Macaca mulatta: one gene and its partner. The protein of the gene in region 2 interacts with the protein of the main gene of each other region in a pairwise test. Links are inferred from orthologs where the notes say so. Each region holds a gene or a part of one and is shown on either strand. Other genes may lie near its edges.

Region 1 (7,543 bases), on a different chromosome or scaffold from region 2:
AAAACTGACTGTCTTTCTTCCCTTCCCCAGTTATTATCCAGCTTTGTATTGCAAACAATGACTCTCCTGTTGTTCTCATTGAAGCGTGGGTTAAAGTGGAAGGCAACATCATTCCTTCTCTTGAAATCTAAAGCAATTCTGTTTTAAACCAAAGACCAGTTATTAAAATGATTAAAACTGTATATCTACACGAAGTAAAGAATATAATTTTCTAAAAAGCAAATAATTTCATAATACAGTACCTAGGAAATTTTTCTGAACAGAAAGCAAATCAGAATGGGTTCAAACTGGAAAGTATCCTACACCTGATATTCTATGTACTATCATAAAATCTAAAGGTAAGCAAGACAATATATGTTGAATTTTTTTTGCCTCATTGTCTTCGATCATATTTCCATTCATCTGTAATGCCTCCTTTACAGACTCATGAAAACCCTTCGAGGTTTTCTTACAGAGGTTTAGAGCCACTCTGAGGATACTTTATCCCTTACTATAGATAATGTTTCCTGCTCTTCCAGTTTGCTTTCAATACCTGGTAAAGGCAAGCCAGCTATATAGTTAACAGCCATCAAATGCCTGGCTTCCTCGTAATTAACCAGAAGCCCTAGTTCCTCTAAAACAGCAAGGATGAGATAAGGTAGTTAATATTCAGTATCTTGTTGCTAAGTTGTAAAGTCATGATAGTAAATGTGGTAAACATTCTATGATGTGAGCTGGAACCAATGAAATTGCTAGTTTAGCTTTTTGACCCTGTTCCTTCTCCCTGGATGTTAATGCAAACACAAGTCCTCTTTGACTAACCCCATCCCTGAGTTTCTCAAAGTGTGCTCTATAGAGCAGTAACACCAGAATCATCAGTAGGTATTCTTATTTTAAAGCCAGGTCTGCACTCGAGACCAACTAACAAAGATTCTCTGTATTTTGATTCACCCAGTAAAAGTCACATTCAACCACAAATGATCTTCCAGTGATTAAACTTGTAAGGAAAAAACAGCAATAGAATTTGTATTTGACTAAATATACAATGTTGTCATCTCTGTCACCTTAAGTACTTTTTTTTTCTATGCAGTTCGTCATATAGAATTTGTAGGACTAAGCAACAGTTTTTTTAGTTTACTACCATTAACCATTTCAACCAGAATTAGTTTTGATCTGCCAGTCTCAATCTACATCTCTAGCATTAGAGCTAAACTTTCCAGTGAAATGACTCTAACAAGACAAGGATACCACACTGGGTATTCAGTGTGCATTAGGGGTTGTGGGAGGAGGAGAGCAGATATTTAATCATGAGTGCTGTGTGCACAGGATAAGGTGTGCTGGGTTCTATGTGATGTTGGGAGGAAATACGGATAAGGACATAGAGGATATATATATTTTGTAATTTGCTATGAGACGGGCATTATTGTATGGGGAAGTTCTGTGCTTACAGAAATTGTCTAGGCTGTGTGGAAAGATGGGTTGGCTTAGGATAGTGACTACCATTGCAGAAACAGGGGAGGCTGGCTGAGGTGGAGCGAATGAGCATTTCAATGTGAAATTATCAGATCAGAAGTGAAGTCCATCTCTTGATGGCAGGATGTGGAGCAAGGTGACAGACACTGAGACTGTTTATGGATTCTTGCATAAACCTGTGTACATGGCTTGAATCTGTACCATTTAGGTACTGTTCATAAGACCTAGAGATTCTTCCACTAACCTCAGGCGCAAGCATCCCGGATGGTTTCAGGACATGGCCAGCTTCTTTGTATAATATGTAAATACTACATAACCAGTGGTGACAACCAGGGCCAAGTGGCCCAGGACAGCCATAATTAGCATGTATTTTCCTAAATAAAGCCTCACCCCATCCTAGCCCACCTCATCAATCAAACCACTTCCAATAGCAAAGGTTGATTTATTATGATGAAGTTTTTAACTTGAAGAATCTCTTCAAACCCATAAGCAAATAGTATCTACTCAAAAGACGGGTTCCCAGGCCTACCACTGATCATCTGTAGAACCTGAGCCTCAGTTTTGTCTATAAAAAGGGGAAAGCAATATTCCTTATCCTGCCTTCAACCATGGAGATTAGCTGACATAATACATATCAAAGTATAGAATAAGGTGTGTTACCATTTACTATGAGTGCCCCGATGCTTAGCAAAATTATATGGGAATATGTACGGATTTATGGGATAATCCTATATGATGGTATAGCCAAGATTCTAAATATGTAGTTTTTAAAAATTTTATTAAAATTCAAAATAGCACCGTAAGACAGGGCAAGAAAAAAAAAATCAAAATAGGCCATTCTTTATTCAAAAACCAATCTACAAATAGGGTAGGCTTGTTAATTTTGCTCTCCTTACCTGTTTGCATTAGGCTTCACCGTGCCCAGAATTGTTATCAGCATGCGAGGCACCACTCCTCCAGGCAAAGGCAGGTTATAAGGCACAGACTGGGAATGAACAAGTACATATGGGAGTCATGTTTCTTTAGGGAAAGAAAACGATGTTGCTGAAGTTCCATTACTATTAATATGTGTGAAAAACACATAACTCTAGTATATGCCATCTGTCCAGACTCTCAGGCCACTTTGCCCAGGGGCCAAAGAGATAAGGCTCCTTACATGTACAAATAATTGAAAAGAAAGCCATCAGTAAGTCTCATTACTATGGCCATCCCAATCTACTCATTCATGTTGGCTATTTTTTGGAAAGGCTTAAGCTAGATCTTGTGATCAACATTAACATTTTTGTATCACTCTTAAGGCCCTGTCATGTCACTTGCTTCACTGTGGTTATTCTGCTTCCTGGGGGCAAGCAGCATATCACATACTGGGCTTGTGGGTTCTCATATGGTCTGTACTCACATGGCTCCAGCAGAGTGCTTTGCACGTGGCAGATACTCAATATTTATAGAATGAACACTGTTAAAACTGAGGTTCATTCCACAAATGTTTATTGACCATCTACATTCAAGGTACTGTGAATATCCCCAAAGCTCTATTTATTTATGGCCTCTTTTCTTTCCCTTTTTAAGGCTTCCCTCTGGGTTTAACTATCACCCCAGCCTTTTCATTTTTTGAGACAAGGTTTCAAAAATCCAGGTCTCTGTTGTTGAGGATGGAGTGCAGTGGTGTGATCATAGCTCACTGCAGCCCCGACCTCTTGGACTCAAGTGATCCTCCTGCCTCAGCCTCCCACAGTGGTGGGATTATAGGCATGAGCCACCACAGCCAGCCTATCCAAATCTTTTCTTTCTAGTCCTGATGTGTATTAGTCCTGTACTTCTTCCCACCTGGATTTGCTGCTAGTGCCTCAAATTCAACAAGTGTGAACTAGAATGGTCTTCCCTCCCCCTCCCCCATCAGTTCCCCTTCATGAGTTCCCAGTTTGGGCTAAAGCTTTGCTGATGGCTCTAATTGCTCAGCCTTGAAAAGTCAGTCTTCTATGTCTTCTAAGACATAATCAGTAGGTTCTGGGGGTTCTTCCTCTGTCATCTCTCTTACATCTGCCTGTTCCTTTCCACAGCCTTCATGTCCCCCTCTCTCTGCAACTGACTAACCATCTCTGGTATAGGCCCATCTCAATGCCACCCACTCCCCCAAGTCTTTCTACTCTGAACCGACCTAAAAGGAGACAATGCTATCTTGTGCCATCTTCTGCATAGTTCTGAAATGGTCTAATCCCACACTGGTACTTAGCTCTTTCCTCATATTTATTATATGTTTTATCATCTAACTAGACTATAAATCTGGAAAGGAAGGATCCTGTGGCTGAGATGTATCTGGATCCCCCACGGAGTTATGTTTTACATTTAGAATTCACTTGCTAAGACATATTTTAATTTGCATGAAAATTCAACCCTTAGATCACAAAATTATCTTTAGAAGGTTTCTCAAAACCAGATTACCCTGGTTCCTCTACCTGTTTGCTCAATGACCCTGGACAAATTATATCACTTCTGTATTGCCCCATTTCCCCACATGTGAAATGGGGTTATTAACAGTATCGTATAGGGTGGTAATGGGGTTAAATTAGATCATCCAGGTAGATGCATATTATTGACATGTACTCAGTAAGTGTTAATAATAACCAAAATGTTCTCCATTACTACAATTTTGGTTTATATTAATAAGCAGCTTTATCAGTGCCTTCAAAATATTCATTACCTTCTGTTTATACTAACCACACACAATAAGCTCAACATGAACACTTAATTTTTCGATTCTACCAACATATGCCCATGGCTGGCCCTTGAGAAGTGGCTGTCACAGCAGGTTTAAAGCTCAGGGTCTCCCTGAAGCCCTCTGCATGCCAAGTACATGAAAGGAGGAATGCTATCTCACCAGTGGCCCAGCAGGGGCGCCATAGGGGCCAGTGGCAGGGTAGGCTCCAGGAGCACTTGGCTGTCCAGGAGATGGGTAGGCTCCAGCGCCACTGGGTGGCCCTGGGTAGACTCCAGATGCTCCGGAATAAGCTCCAGGTGCTCCAGGGTAGGCGCCTGGAGGTGCCTGTCCAGGATAAACCCCTGGGGGTGCCTGCCCGGGGTAGGCCCCAGGATAGGAGGCCCCTGGGTAGCCCCCTGCCCCAGCAGGCTGGTTCCCCCATGGGCCAGGCCATCCTTGAGGGTTTGGGTTTCCAGACCCAGATAAGGCATCATGGAGCTGTAAAGAAAGACATAAACAATTACAGGACAGAAAGCATTCTCAAAAGCAGAATTTTCAGGGAAATAGGAATATGTGATCTAAGAAGGAGAGGAATATAGCAAAGGCATTACATGCATATCATTATACTTTTTCCACTTGTTAATAGTTTTGAGTGTCTAAGACTAAAATTAGACGTTGGGGTTACATATGCTTTTTCACTTTGTTCTTGCCTCCCAAGGTCTCAAATCAGGGAGGGCTGCATTTTCATAATTAGCCCAAGTCAGGAGCTAGCGCTCCTCTATTTACAGCACATATTTTTTAATCACTGTGAGAAAAACAATCACAAACATCAGAATGCCCAGACTGTACCGCGCTTCCCGCTACTCAGAGGATTTCTCAGCTCCTGCCAGCAGAGTCCACTCCCTTCCGCCCTGGGCCTTTTGGTGAAAGGGTTACTGTAAGTGAGTCCCAGGCCTTGCTCTGCCTGGCTTTCTTCCCAAATCTGCTGCTGGAAAAACAAGGCTCCAGCTCACAAGCCCTCGTTGGACAAATGAGTCTAGGGGAAGCCACACGGTGGGAGAGTGAAAAGGGAAAGTCATGGTAAAAACAAAACCCCCAACCCTCAACCATGTGGAGTTGATCGAGGGTAAGAAACAGGCATAAAACACTTACCGAAAAATTGTCTGCCATTTTCCTGAGAGAAAGAAAGAGACAAAGGTTATCATTTGATCCTGAAAGCTTTCACCGATTTCCATTAAATTGAACCTCACCACTAGTTCATTGTGCAGTTCTAGTCAATCTCTAGGCATTATGCCTAAGTCAGTAGTGTGGGACCACACAACATCTCCTCAAGGGGCAGGGATGCTTTCCAGCTAGATTGTGAGTTAAATATAACTCACAAGTTTAAACTTCCATCACACTAGCCTGTGCTCTGAATCCTGAGACCAAGAGGCCATACAATGCATGAGGGAGGAGGAGGCAGGGAGGAAGAAAAGGTCCTGTCCCTTTTCCAGGTGAAAAATGTAAACAGTCATGGTTTCTCTTTGGTTCTTCTTCACCTTCCTTCCTTACTCCTTATAAAGGGTTTGGTGTGTTCATCTTGCCCATCTGCCCTCTGTCCCCACTAACTGCCCCATCCCCTCCTCTGGGTTTTTGAAGATCAGCAGTGATTGATTCCTACTGAGACAGGAAAGACAATGACCTCCAGACATAGTTGCTGCCCTGTTATTTATTCCTCTATTTGCACACACTTATGCCTGCTCTTGGTCAGGCACTGCGCAGGCTCTTGTCTAGGTGCGAAGATGAATAGGCCATGATCTGCATGGTCAAAGGGGCCATGGGATCTAAAACTCAAAACGATTGAGCCCACAGAGGTATAGAGTAGAAGGATGGTTACCAGAGGCTGGGAAAGGTAGTGGGGGTGGGTGAGTGGGAGGGCGGTGAGGATAGTTAATGGGTGACAAAAATAGTTATAATGAATGAATAAGGCCTGATATTTGACAGCACAACAGGGTGACTATAGTCAATAATTTCATTGTACATTTGAACATAACTAAAAGTATACTTGGATTGTTTGTAACACAAATAAATGAGAATATGAATGCCCCATTTTCCATGATGTGATTATCATGCACTACATACCTGTGTCAAAACATCTTTATGTAGCCCATAAATATATATACCTGCTATGTACCCATAAAGATTAAGAATTTTAAAAAAAGCCAAAGGGCCCACAGTCCAGCAAGGCAGATGAGATGCATCCATGGAAATGTGAAATAACAAGTCACGAATGCTATGAGTTAGAATGTGTGCTGTAGGAATTCAAACGCAGAAAGCTTACTTCTAAGAAGGAAAGGAAAAGTGCTGTTGGAGCTAAGCCTCAAAGGGCAGCTGAAGTTTGTATGTGCTTTCTTTTTTTAAAGGTACTTGTTATTCCAAATAAAATCTTTGGCAGTACAACAAACTAAGGTGAAAAAATTCAGGCAACGTGAAAGAAAAAAATATTTGGGTGTAAGATGCTACCAAAGAGGGTTTGCCTTGCCCAAAGCTGCCACAAGGGGTGGTCTGGAGACATCAATCCTGCTTTCTCCTGTTCCTTCCCATGTCAAGGCTCCTAAAGCACAAGATGCTTCACAGCTGTTGCAGGTGCTCCAGCTGTGAGGGGAGGAGGGCAGTTGGGCCCCTGAGGCATGGGTGAGTTCTTCCTAAGCTCAGGATCACCTGTGCCATGGCCTGAATTACGTAGACCTTGAAACAACCAGAATATCCTTGATTGCCTACCTGTGATATTTACTCAATCACTTTTAGAAATGACATCGCCCCAAGGGATTCAATAAATGTCCACTACTTGATTCAAATGCAAGATATTGGCTGGGCGTGGCTCATGCCTGTAATCCCCAGCACGTTGGGAGGCTAAGGTGGGCGGATTGCTTGAGCCCAAGAGTTCAAGACTAGCCTGGACAATATGGCAAAACCCTGTCTCTATGAAAAATACAAAAATTAGCCAGGTGTGGTGGTGCAGCCTGTGGTCCCAGCTACTTGAGGGGCTGAGGTGAGAAGATCATTTCAGCCTAGGAGGTCAAGGCTGCACTGAGCTGTGATTGCACCACTGCACTCCAGCCTGGGTGACAAAGCGAGACCCCGTCTCAAAAAAAGAAAGAAAGAAAAGCACAAAATATTACATTTTTGTGGTAAAACTCAAACAGGCAGAGCTCCTCCTAGAGCTTAACATGCTTCATTTATACACACTGGATATTTTATACAGGTTGAGTATCCCTTATTTGAAATAGGACCAGAAGTGTTTCTGATTTCCTTTTTTTTTTTTTTTAGATTTTGGAATATGTCCATATACCCAGTTAGGCATCCCTAATCTGAAGAGCCAAAATCCAAGACCTCCAGTGAGCATTTCTTTAG
Region 2 (10,687 bases):
ATGCCTGTAATCCCAGCACTTTGGGAGGCTAAGGCAGGTGGATCACCTGAGGTCAGGAGTTTGAGACCAGCCTGACTGACCAACATGTTGAAACCCTGTCCCTACTAAAAATACAAAATTAGCCGGGCATGGTGGCAGGTGCCTGTAGTCGCAGCTACTTGGGAGGCTGAGGCAGGAAAATCACTTGAACCTGGGGGGTGGAGGTTACAATTGCGCCACTGCGCTCCAACCTGCGCAATAACAGCGAAACTCCATCTCAAAATAAATAAATACATAAATAAAAATAAAAAGTTTTAGGAAAAAAATTTTTAAAAAATAAGTATTATTCAATAAATTTGGGGTAAAGCCCCATATTACTCTCTCATAGCTGATGGGCAGCCAGAGTTAAAAAAACATAAGCTAAAGGCCTATATCCATTGACCCAAGGGAAGACAATAAAGATTCATGCCACTCTGCCTGACCCAATTTTGAAGAGTTCTCCCACTTAAAAAACATAGGAATCACATGGTGTCTTCCTCAGTGAAGCTCTGGTTCCCTTCTATAAAATTGATACACTTTAAAGGGTCTGTGGAACATTAGCAAAAGTTGTAGAATGTGCCATACCCAGCCAAGGTGATAGCACAGGTGAACAGAGACCAGGAGAAATATCTTTATTTGAATAGGACCTGAGACAGCATATTGGGCTAAGGAGGAAAGGTAAGGTTCCAAAATGGCAGTCAAAGCTGATCGACCAAAGGGACTCTACTTCCCAGCAACTTTGCAGTTAGTGCAACCAACAAAAGGCCTGCTGGGGAATGTATTTGCCACTAAATTCCCCAAGTATGGCAACATTACAAAAAAGATAGAGGTTTTTCATCATAATTAAATTTCCGCAAACCTCCCCAATCACAAGTATTATAAGCGGAAGTAAAAAAATCACATTTTACAGATCTCAAACTTGTCTTCAACATTTAGTTCATCATTTTCAAAAAATAGCTCCCCTGCCTAATTCATTAGCTATATGATCTATCCAAGCAGCAACAAGATGGCCAGGCCATGGCAATCCTCTTCCCATTTCCCCTAGCCACTCAGGGCTCAACAGCAGGGTGAGGCTCAGGTGGAGGTAGGGGGTGGGGAGCACAAGGGCTACTTTCCCCCAGTACAACATGGCATCTGAAGCTTGATGGGAGAGCAGAACTGGTGAGACTTGAGGGAAGGGTCCAGGGCCTGTATTCAGTCAGAATCACTGCTGGAAGAGGAGGAGGAAGAGGAGGAGGAATGCTGCAAGGGGAAAGGGGAAAGAGGAAAGAAGCATCAGATCCAAATGACCTTTCATCACTCCGTGGGCCATTCTTTGGTGCCCTACCCCTCTACCCAAGTATCCCTTGCTTCCCTAAGAAGGTCAGGAGTCTTGAACTGACTGTACCTAAACAAAAGCAAGGGTTTCCTTCAGCAGTGAGCACACAGGAATGGATTAAACCATCCTAAATTATCACACAGAATTTTAAAAATTTAACATATTGCCTTTGGAGCAAATTTCCAACTTTCTTTACCTGAATCGATGCCTAGGCAAGGAATAAATTACAGGCCCAAGCATAGTATGGTGCCAGGAAACAGCAGTTACCTTATAAATGCTTATTTATTAGCTGCATGCAAAGTCCTATGATTTTAAGAAATTGGATTCTACAAATCTAAGAAGACAGTAGAAACAGCAGTTGTGTGTGCACGTATCTCTACTTTTTCCAAAGCACAATAGGAAAAAGTGGGGAAGATGTAAGAAAAGGCTGGGAGTTCTATTAAATGTTCCTTAAGCACATACTCCCAGCAATGCTACAGTTATTAAATAAAAACATTTTTCAGTCTCTCCAGGGTAATTTCTCCCCCTTCTTCCCCACTAAATCTCAATTCTCTTCAGACTTCTTTTTTTTTTTCAGATGGAGTCTCACCCTGTCGCCCAGGCTGGAGTGCAATGGCATGATCTCAGCTCACTGCAACCTCCACCTCCTGGGTTTAAGAGATTCTCTGCTGGGTGCGGTGGCTCATGCCTATAATCCCAGCACTTTGGGAGGCCGAGGTGGGAGGATCACAAGGTCAGGAGATCGAGACCACGGGTGAAACCCCGTCTCTACTAAAAATACAAAAAATAGCCGGGCGCGGTGGCTCAAGCCTGTAATCCCAGCACTTTGGGAGGCCGAGACGGGTGGATCACGAGGTCAGGAGATCGAGACCATCCTGGCTAACACGGTGAAACCCCATCTCTACTAAAAAATACAAAAAAGTAGCCGGGTGAGTTGGCGGGCGCCTGTAGTCCCAGCTACTCGGGAGGCTGAGGCAGGAGAATGGCGTAAATCCGGGAGGCGGAGCTTGCAGTGAGCTGAGATCCGGCCACTGCACTCCAGCCCGGGCGACAGAGCGAGACTCCGTCTCAAAAAAAACAAAAAAAAACAAAAACAAAACAAAACAAAAAAAAATTAGGCGCTGTAGCGGGTGCCTGTAGTCCCAGCTAATTGGTGGGGGGTGCTGAGGCAGGAGAATGGCGTGAACTCTGGAGGCGGAGCTTGCAGTGAGCCGAGATTGCACCACTGCACTCCAGCGTGGGGGACAGAGCGAGACTCCGTCTCAAAAAAAAAAAAAAAAGAGATTCTCCCGCCTCAGTCTCCGGAGTACCTGGGATTACAGGCACACAGCACCATGCCCAGATAATTTTTTGTATCTTTAGTAGACATGTTTCGCCATTTGGCTAGGCTGGTTTCGAACTCCTGACCTCGTGATCTGCCTGCCCTGGACTCCCAAAGTGCTGGGATTACAGGTGTGGACCACAGTGCCTGGCCTTCTCTTCAGACTTCTATCAAATACCCAGAATCAGGAATTAGAATCCACAAGGCAAATAAATTTACTGGGCAGTTAAATGTAAATGGAGGCCTCATCAAGATGCAGATTGGTTTAATCCTTCCAGAGTTGACCTCAGAGTTGCTTTTATCCTTGCACTTTTTTTTTTGAGATGGAGTCTTGTCTGTCATCGAGGCTGGAGTGCAGTGGTGAGATCTGGGCTCACTGCAACCTCCGCCTCCCGGGTTCAAGCAATTCGCCTGCCTCAGCCTCCTGAGTAGCTGGGATTACAGGCATGCGCCACCACACCCAGCTAATAATTCCCAAGTGCTGGGATTACAGGCATGATCCTTACTAATTTTTAACAGTCCTCTAAAACAAAGATACTCAGCCTTGGGGCTGAGTATAAAACCTCCTTAGTCCTAGGCTGTTAGAGGCTGAGTCACTGACTGCTCTTGTCCTCACTTTTTCTGCTGGATGATAGGGCAAAGGGCCCATGTAATTAACACAAGGCCCTAAGAACACTGAAAGAGAGAAAGAACTCCAGGAACTAGGGCCATATTATTATTCTGTTAATTATTATAAGACTTTGCTTTGTCAAAGGAATGACTTTAATTGATGTTTTGATAATGTCAGTGAGGGGGTCCAACTTGCTAGAATATGCACCTGCGGGGAGGGGAGCAAAAGTTCTGGGAGAGAGTAGGGCAGAAAAGATTTGGCTTTTGATTCTAAAAATCTATTTTAAGGCTCACCCTAGCTCCCCCCAGATAGGAGAAGCCTGATGTTTCTTTTCAAGATAATCAGATTCTTCCCAGTAGCAATCTTTTACAAAAAGGAAGAATCATCGACCAGAGTGACACAATCGTCATCCCCCACGTCCACAGAATGTGAATCCCCCTCACCCAACCCCTGCCTACCTAGTCCCTCTGAGGGGGCACCCCTTCCCTAGCCAGGCTCCAGAGGGTACTGACCTTGCCACGCTTGTGGTGCTTGTGGTGCTTGTTCATCTTTTTATGAGCTTTCTTCATTTTCTTCTGCATCTTCTTGTCCACTATCACTGCTGGTCCGACCATGCCAGGAGCCAAGGGATTCACAGGAGGGATTCCAGGGGCAGGAGGTGGGTATGGAGGAGGGTAGGGACCCAAGGGTTGGCATCCTGGATACCCTGGCTGTGGCACAGGATGAGGGGGCCCACCTGGGGGGAAAGCTGGATTGCCCTGGGGAGCTCCTGGGGGAGGAGGACAGGGGCCTGAGGGAAAGAGTGGGTTAATAGGTGGTGGGTGGGCAGGATTGGAACCTCCAGGGCACCCGATGTTGGGGGTATATGGATTTGGCCCTGGCTGCCCTGGGGGAAGAAGCAGATTATAAACATTAGTATTCCCCAGAGTCTCCGACAACAAACAACAAAAAGAAAGAGATTCTTTCTCACCCAATACTTAAAGGGAAATGGAAAAGTGACAAAGGAGAATAGAAGGTAGGGGAGACAAACCTGAGTTGAGGATAAAAGGGGAATGTCCCCGTAAGGGCTGGAGAGAGGAGGGAGACAGTGAACTCTGAGGAAGACAAAAGTACTGGTCAGGCCGGTGGGGCGTGGTGGCTCAAGCCTGTAATCCCAGCAGTTTGGGAGGCCGAGGTGGACAGATCACATGAGGCCAGGAGTTCAAGACCAGCCTGGCCAACATGGTGAAACCCCGTCTCTACTAAAAATACAAAAAGTAGTAGGGCGTGATGGCGCACGCCTGTAATCTCAGCTACTCCAGAGGCTGAAACAGGAGAATCGCTTGAACCCAGGAGGCGGAGGTTGCAGTGAGCCGAGATCGCGCCACTGCACTCCAGCCTGGGCGACAGAGACTCCGTCTCAAAAAATAAATAAATAAAATAAAATAAAAAAGCACTGGTCAGCTGTAGACTAAGGACTTTGCTTTTGCGGGTGTGGCGGGTCGGGGATGGGGCAGCTGATAGAGAAACTTCCTGTTACGCAGAGTCCATCAGAAAAAGGGTTAGGGGTCGTACAGAACCCCCAAACACCTACCGGCATTGGGATTCCACATGTTTAGGTGTGTCCTCCAGCCTGAGGAGAAAGAAATGAGGCAAAAAAGATGACAGTCTAGAGGTAGGAAGTGGACTTAGCACCGGAGCCCAGCCCTAACGTCTTCCACCCCACAGTAGGCTCTCCCACCTGGAGAACTACCACGACTTCCACATAAGACACATCTCTTTTCTGGCTGGGCGCGGTGGCTCACGCTTGTAATCCCAGCACTTTGGGAGGCCAAGGCGGGTGGATCACGAGGTCAGGAATTCGACACCAGCCTGGCCAACATCGTTAAACCCCGTCTCTACTAAAAATCTAAAAATTAGCCGGGCGCGGTGGCGGGCGCCTGTAATCCCAGTTACTCGGGAGGCTGAGGCAGGAGAATCGCTTGAACCTGGGAGGCGGAAGTTACAGTGAGCTGAGATCGCGCCACTGCACTCTAGCCTGGGCAACAGAGCGAGACACCGCCTCGAAGAAAAAAAAAAAAAGAAAGAAATGTCTCTTTCCACTTGTTTCTTCGCCCTCAATACCTACTTGGTTCCTAACACAGGAATCTAGTTCCCAGGGCCCCTCCACCTAGGTTGAAGCGTCTAACTCTTCGCAAGAGGGCATAGCCCGCGAGTCTCGGCACCCCCATCATTCATCCCCCTTTCCTGGAACTGAGTCCGGAGGCCTTTAACCACCCACAGAGTAAGAAAGGATCTCAAACAACTTTCTCCCTGGGGAGGACCTCACCTCAGGCTAAGAAAAGGATACGCCTGGAGGCGAAGAAGGAAGTTGCTCAAGAACCTCAAATACTTAAATAAATGGACACAGCCCAATTCCTCCAAAAAAGAAAAAAGGCAAATGAAGATCCTAGCCCCAAGCTGCGAAGGGGCTCTTAACCCAGCAATGGGAAAAGGAATAAACCCATGGAATTCAGATACCACGTCACCTTTCCACCGCCGCCTGGACTTGATGCGTTCTTCGCAGTCTCGGCTCTTACTTCCTAGTCACACCTAGTCACCCAGACCCCGTGCTTCGGTACCCGCCTCTGCTACTGCCTAATTGGTAATTATGTGGCCACTCGGCTGATGATTGGACAACAAACTAATCAATCACTCTGGTCCAACTGAGGAGGAAACGGTTGCTCTAGCTGCAGACCGGAGCCCTTTACGACTAGGCAAGTACTGAGAAGCCGGAAATCTCCTGGGGGCGGAGCTAGGCGGAGAGCGCTAGAGGGGGCGGGGCCAGCTGCTGGGCAAAGTCCTAGAGACACCGAGAAGAAACTCTGCCCTTGCTCTCTGCTAGTCATGGTTCACTGGGTGCAATACCTTGTAAAGTGAATACACTATGGTAAGTGTTGTAATACAGATATAGACAGAGTTCTCGGCAAGGGCAGAGGAGCTGCTGAGTCCTAGCCCCAAGCCTCAATGTTCTCGGCTCCCTCTTACACTCGCAAGGGAAGCAAACAAACATTCTTGCGGAAAATACAGAGATTTCATAATCTCTCCCAGGATTCCCTCTCTCAATTGCATAGCTCCGCCATCTGTCAAGAAGCCTAAACCAGAAACCAAGGAGGTCTTCCGTGATCCCTCTGTCTCCTTCACCTCCCTTACCCCAAATTACCAGTTTTGTCTCACAAATACATCTGGAATCTCTCCACTTCTCTCCGTCTTCCCTGGTCTAAACCTCCCATCATCTCTCGCCTGGATTCATTTCTCCCCTGAATTGCTACAATGGCCTCTTTTTTTTTTTTTTTTTTTTTTTTTTTTTTGAGACGGAGTCTCGCTCTGTTGCCAGGCTGGAGTGCAGTGGTGCGACCTCAGCTCACTGCAACCTCCGCTTCCCGCGTTCAAGCGATTCTTCTGCCTCAGCCTCCCGAGTAGCTGGGACTACAGGCGCGGCTAATTTTTGTATTTCTTAGTAGAGATGGGGTTTCACCATGTTGGCCAGGATGGTCTCCATCTCTTGACTTCGTGATCTGCCTGCCTCGGCCTCTCAAAGTGCTGGGATTACAGGCGTGAGCCACCGCGCCCAGACTTTTTTTTTTTTTTTTTAAAGAAAACAATACAAGTGGCCAGGTACATTGGCTCATGCCTGTAATCCAAGCACTTTGGGAAGCCGAGGCGGGCGGATCACGAGGTCAGGAGTTCGAGACCAGCCTGGCCAATATGGTAAAACCCCGTTTCTACTAAAAATACAAAAATTAGCCGGGCGTGGTGACATGTGCCTGTGATCCCAGCCACTTGGGAGGCTGAGGCAGGAGAATCGCTGAACCCGGGAGGCGGAGGTTGCAGTGAGCCGAAATCGTGCCACTGCACTCCAACCTGGGTAATAGAGTGAGACTCCGTCTCAAAAATAATAATAATAAACAACGACAACAAAAAAATCACACACAATACAATTAACAAACTTGACCTGATGAACATGCATTGAACCATGCTCTCAAAACTTAATGACTGCTAATTCTCCTTAAGCATGCTTAGAGCATTTATAAAAATTGGTCACATTCTAAGTTAAGCATGTCTCAACTGATGCAATTCAATTTTGAAAGAACTGTTCAATACATATTCCCTGACCACGATGTAAAATATAAGCAAACATACAGCTAGATTTTTTTTTTAGAAAAAAAAATTGTTTAACTGTCATCCAGGCTGGGCACAGTGGTTTATGCATGTAATCCCAGCACTTTGGGAGGCCGTGGCTGGAGGATCACTTGAGGTCAGGAGTTCAGGACCAGAATGGGCAACTTAGTAAGACATCATCTCTACAAAAATAAAAAATTAAGGCCGGGCGCGGTGGCTCAAGCCTGTAATCCCAGCACTTTGGGAGGCCGAGATGGGCGGATCACAAGGTCAGGAGATCGAGACCATCCTGGCTAACATGGTGAAACCCCGTCTCTACTAAAAATACAAAAAAACTAGCCGGGCGAGGTGGCGGGCGCCTGTAGTCCCAGCTACTCGGGAGGCTGAGGCAGGAGAATGGCGTAAACCCGGGAGGCGGAGCTTGCAGTGAGCTGAGATCCGGCCACTGCACTCCAGCCTGGGCGACAGAGCGAGACTCCGTCTCAAAAAAAATAAAAATAAAAATAAAAATAAATAAATAATAAATAAAAAATAAAAATTAGCCGAGAGTGGTGGTGCACGCCTGTAGTCCCAGCTACTCAGGAGGGTAAGGTGGGAGGATCACTTGAGCCTGGGAGGCAGAGGTTGCAGTGAGCCCAAATCACACCACTGCACTCCAGCCTGGGTGACAGAGCAAGATTCAATCTCTAAATAAATAAATAAATTGCCTTAAAATAACAACGGAAAGAATAAGCCATGATGGAAATTAAATACTTAGAAATAAGTAGGTGGGCACGGTGACTCATGCCTATAATCCCAGCACTTTGGGAGGCCGAGGTGGGTGGATCATGAGGTCAGGATTTTGAGACCATCCTGGCCAACATGGTGAACACCTGTCTCTACTAAAAATACAAAAATTAGCTGGGTGTGATGGCACACGCTGTAATCCCAACTGCTCAGGAGGCTGATACAGTAGAATCACTTGAACCCGGGAGGCAGAGATGGCAGTGAGCTGAGATGGTGCCACTGCACTCCAGACTGGCAACAGAGCAAGACTCCGTCTCAAAAAAAAAAAAAAAAAAAAAAAGGAAGGAAGGAAGGAAGGAAGGAAGAAAGAAGCAGGCCGGGTGTGGTGGCTCACGCCAGTAATCCCAACACTTTAGGAGGCTGAGGCAGACAGATTCCTTGAGTCCAGGAGTTCAAGACCAGCGTGGGCCACAGGGGAAACCCTGTCTCTAATACAAATACAAAAATTAGCCGGGCATAAAAATACAAAAATTAGCCGGGTGTGGTGGCTCACACCCAGTTGTCCCGGCTACTCAGGGCTGGGGTGGGAGAATCACTTGAGCCTGAGAGGTGGAGGTTGTGATGAGCCAAGATCATGCCACTGCACTCCAGCATGGGCAAAAGAGCACAAAAAGAAATAAGCCATAATGAAAATATTAGATCCAAAATTTGTGGGATATAGGCAGAACATGGTAGCTCATGCCTGTAATCCCAGCATTTTGGGAGGCCGAGGCAGGTGGATCACATGAGGCCAGGAGTTCGAGACCAGCCTGGCCAGCATAGCAAAACCCCGTCTCTACTAAATATACAAAAAAATTAGGCCAGGCGGGGTGGCTCACGCCTGTAATCCTAGCACTATGGGAGGCTGAGGCAAGTGGATCACAAGGTCAGGAATTCAAGACCAGCCTGGCCAACATGGTGAAATCCCATCTCTACTAAAAATACAAAAAATTGGCTGGGCACGGTGGCTCACGCCTGTAATCCCAGCACTTTGGGAGGGCAAGGCGGGCGGATCACGAGGTCAGGAGATCGAGACGATCCTGGCTAACACGGTGAAACCCCATCTCTACTAAAAATACAAAAAAAATTCGACGGGCGTGGTGATGGGCACCTGTAGTCCCAGCTACTCAGGAGGCTGAGGCAGGAGAATGGCGTGAACCTGGGAGGCAGAGCTTGCGGTGAGCCGAGATCGCGCCACTGCACTCTAGCTTGGGCGACAGAGCAAGATTCCATCTCAGAAAAATAAATAAATAAATAAATATATATATATATATATATATATATAGTGTGTGTGTGTATGTGTGTGTGTTTAGTAGAAATGGGGTTTCACCATGTTGGCTAGGGCAGTTTCAAACTCCTGACCTCAAGTGATTCACCCACCTTGGCCTCCCAAAGTGCTAGGATTACAGGCATGAGCCACCAGGCCTGGCCTGTTATTTCTTGACTTTTTAATCATCAGCATTCTGACTGGCATGAGATAGTATCTCATTATGGTTTTGATTTACATTTCTCTGATGTTCAGTGATGATGTGCTTTTTTTCATGTTTGTGGGCTGCATGTCTTCTTTTGAGAAGTGTCTGTTCATGTCCTTTGCCCACTTTTTAATGGGATTTTTTTTTTTTCTTCTAAATTTGTTTGAGTTTATTGTAGATTCTGGATATTAGACACTTTGTCAGATCATAAAAATTTTCTCCTGTTCTGTAGGTTGGCGGTTTGTTCCGATGTTAGTTTCTTTTGCTGTGCAGAAGCTCTTTAGTTTAATTAGATCACATTACAAATTTTTGCTTTTGTTGTGATTGCTTTTGGTGATCTCATCATTAAATCTTTGCCCCTGCCTATGTCCTGAGTGGTATTGCCTAGATAGTGTTCTTTTATTTTGAAATAATTTTAGACTCACAAGAAGTTGTAAAATTTACCCAGCTTCCCCCAGTGATAGTATCTTACATAACAAGACTGCATTTTGGCCGAGTGGGGTGACTCATGCCTGTAATCCCAGCACTTTGGGAGGCCGAGGCTAGTGGATTCCCTTGAACTCAGGAGTTCGAGACCATCCTGGTCAACATGTTGAAATCTTGTCTCTACAAAAAATAGAAAAATTAGCTGGGCGTGGTTGTGTGCACCCATAATCCCAGCTACTCAGGAGGCTGGGGTGGGAGGATCACTGGAGCCTGGGAGACAGAAGTTACAGTGAGCCAAGATCATTCCACTGCACTCCAGTCTCACTCACAGAGTGAGACCCTGTCTCAAAACAAACAAACAGGCTGGGCGCGGTGGCTCACGCCTGTAATCCCAGGACTTTGGGAGGTTGAGGTGGGCAGATCACGAGGTCAGGATTTTGAGACCATCCCAACGAACATAGTGAAACCCCATCTGTACTAACAATAAAAAAATTAGCTGGGCGTGGTGGCACACACTGTAATCCCAGCTACTGGGGAGACTGAGGCAGGAGAATCCCTTGAACTAGGGAGGCAGATGTTGTAGTGAGCCGAGATCGCACCACTGCACTCCAACTTGG

The links. The genes of interacting proteins can lie anywhere in the genome.
Region 1: the proteins of PRR13 (region 2) and LGALS3 interact in binary tests that used the Homo sapiens proteins (3 or more experiments, as listed by UniProt). The two-hybrid records come from large-scale screens. The link is inferred for Macaca mulatta from reciprocal best matches to the Homo sapiens genes PRR13 and LGALS3.

The regions. Positions count from the first base shown.
Region 1 is NC_133412.1:128,271,539-128,279,081, reverse strand, and holds part of LGALS3 (galectin-3), read right to left. Parts: intron 5,325-7,543; 5' UTR 5,321-5,324; coding exon 5,303-5,320; intron 4,649-5,302; coding exon 4,331-4,648; intron 2,438-4,330; coding exon 2,349-2,437; intron 139-2,348; coding exon 1-138. UniProt on the Homo sapiens protein: Galactose-specific lectin which binds IgE. May mediate with the alpha-3, beta-1 integrin the stimulation by CSPG4 of endothelial cells migration.
Region 2 is NC_133416.1:60,588,226-60,598,912, reverse strand, and holds PRR13 (proline-rich protein 13), read right to left. Parts: upstream 5,870-10,687; 5' UTR 5,775-5,869; exon of another isoform or gene 5,767-5,774; intron 5,665-5,766; exon of another isoform or gene 4,988-5,664; intron 4,880-4,987; 5' UTR 4,860-4,879; coding exon 4,841-4,859; intron 4,362-4,840; coding exon of another isoform or gene 4,298-4,361; intron 4,154-4,297; coding exon 3,780-4,153; intron 1,261-3,779; coding exon 1,213-1,260; 3' UTR 664-1,212; downstream 1-663. UniProt on the Homo sapiens protein: Negatively regulates TSP1 expression at the level of transcription. This down-regulation was shown to reduce taxane-induced apoptosis.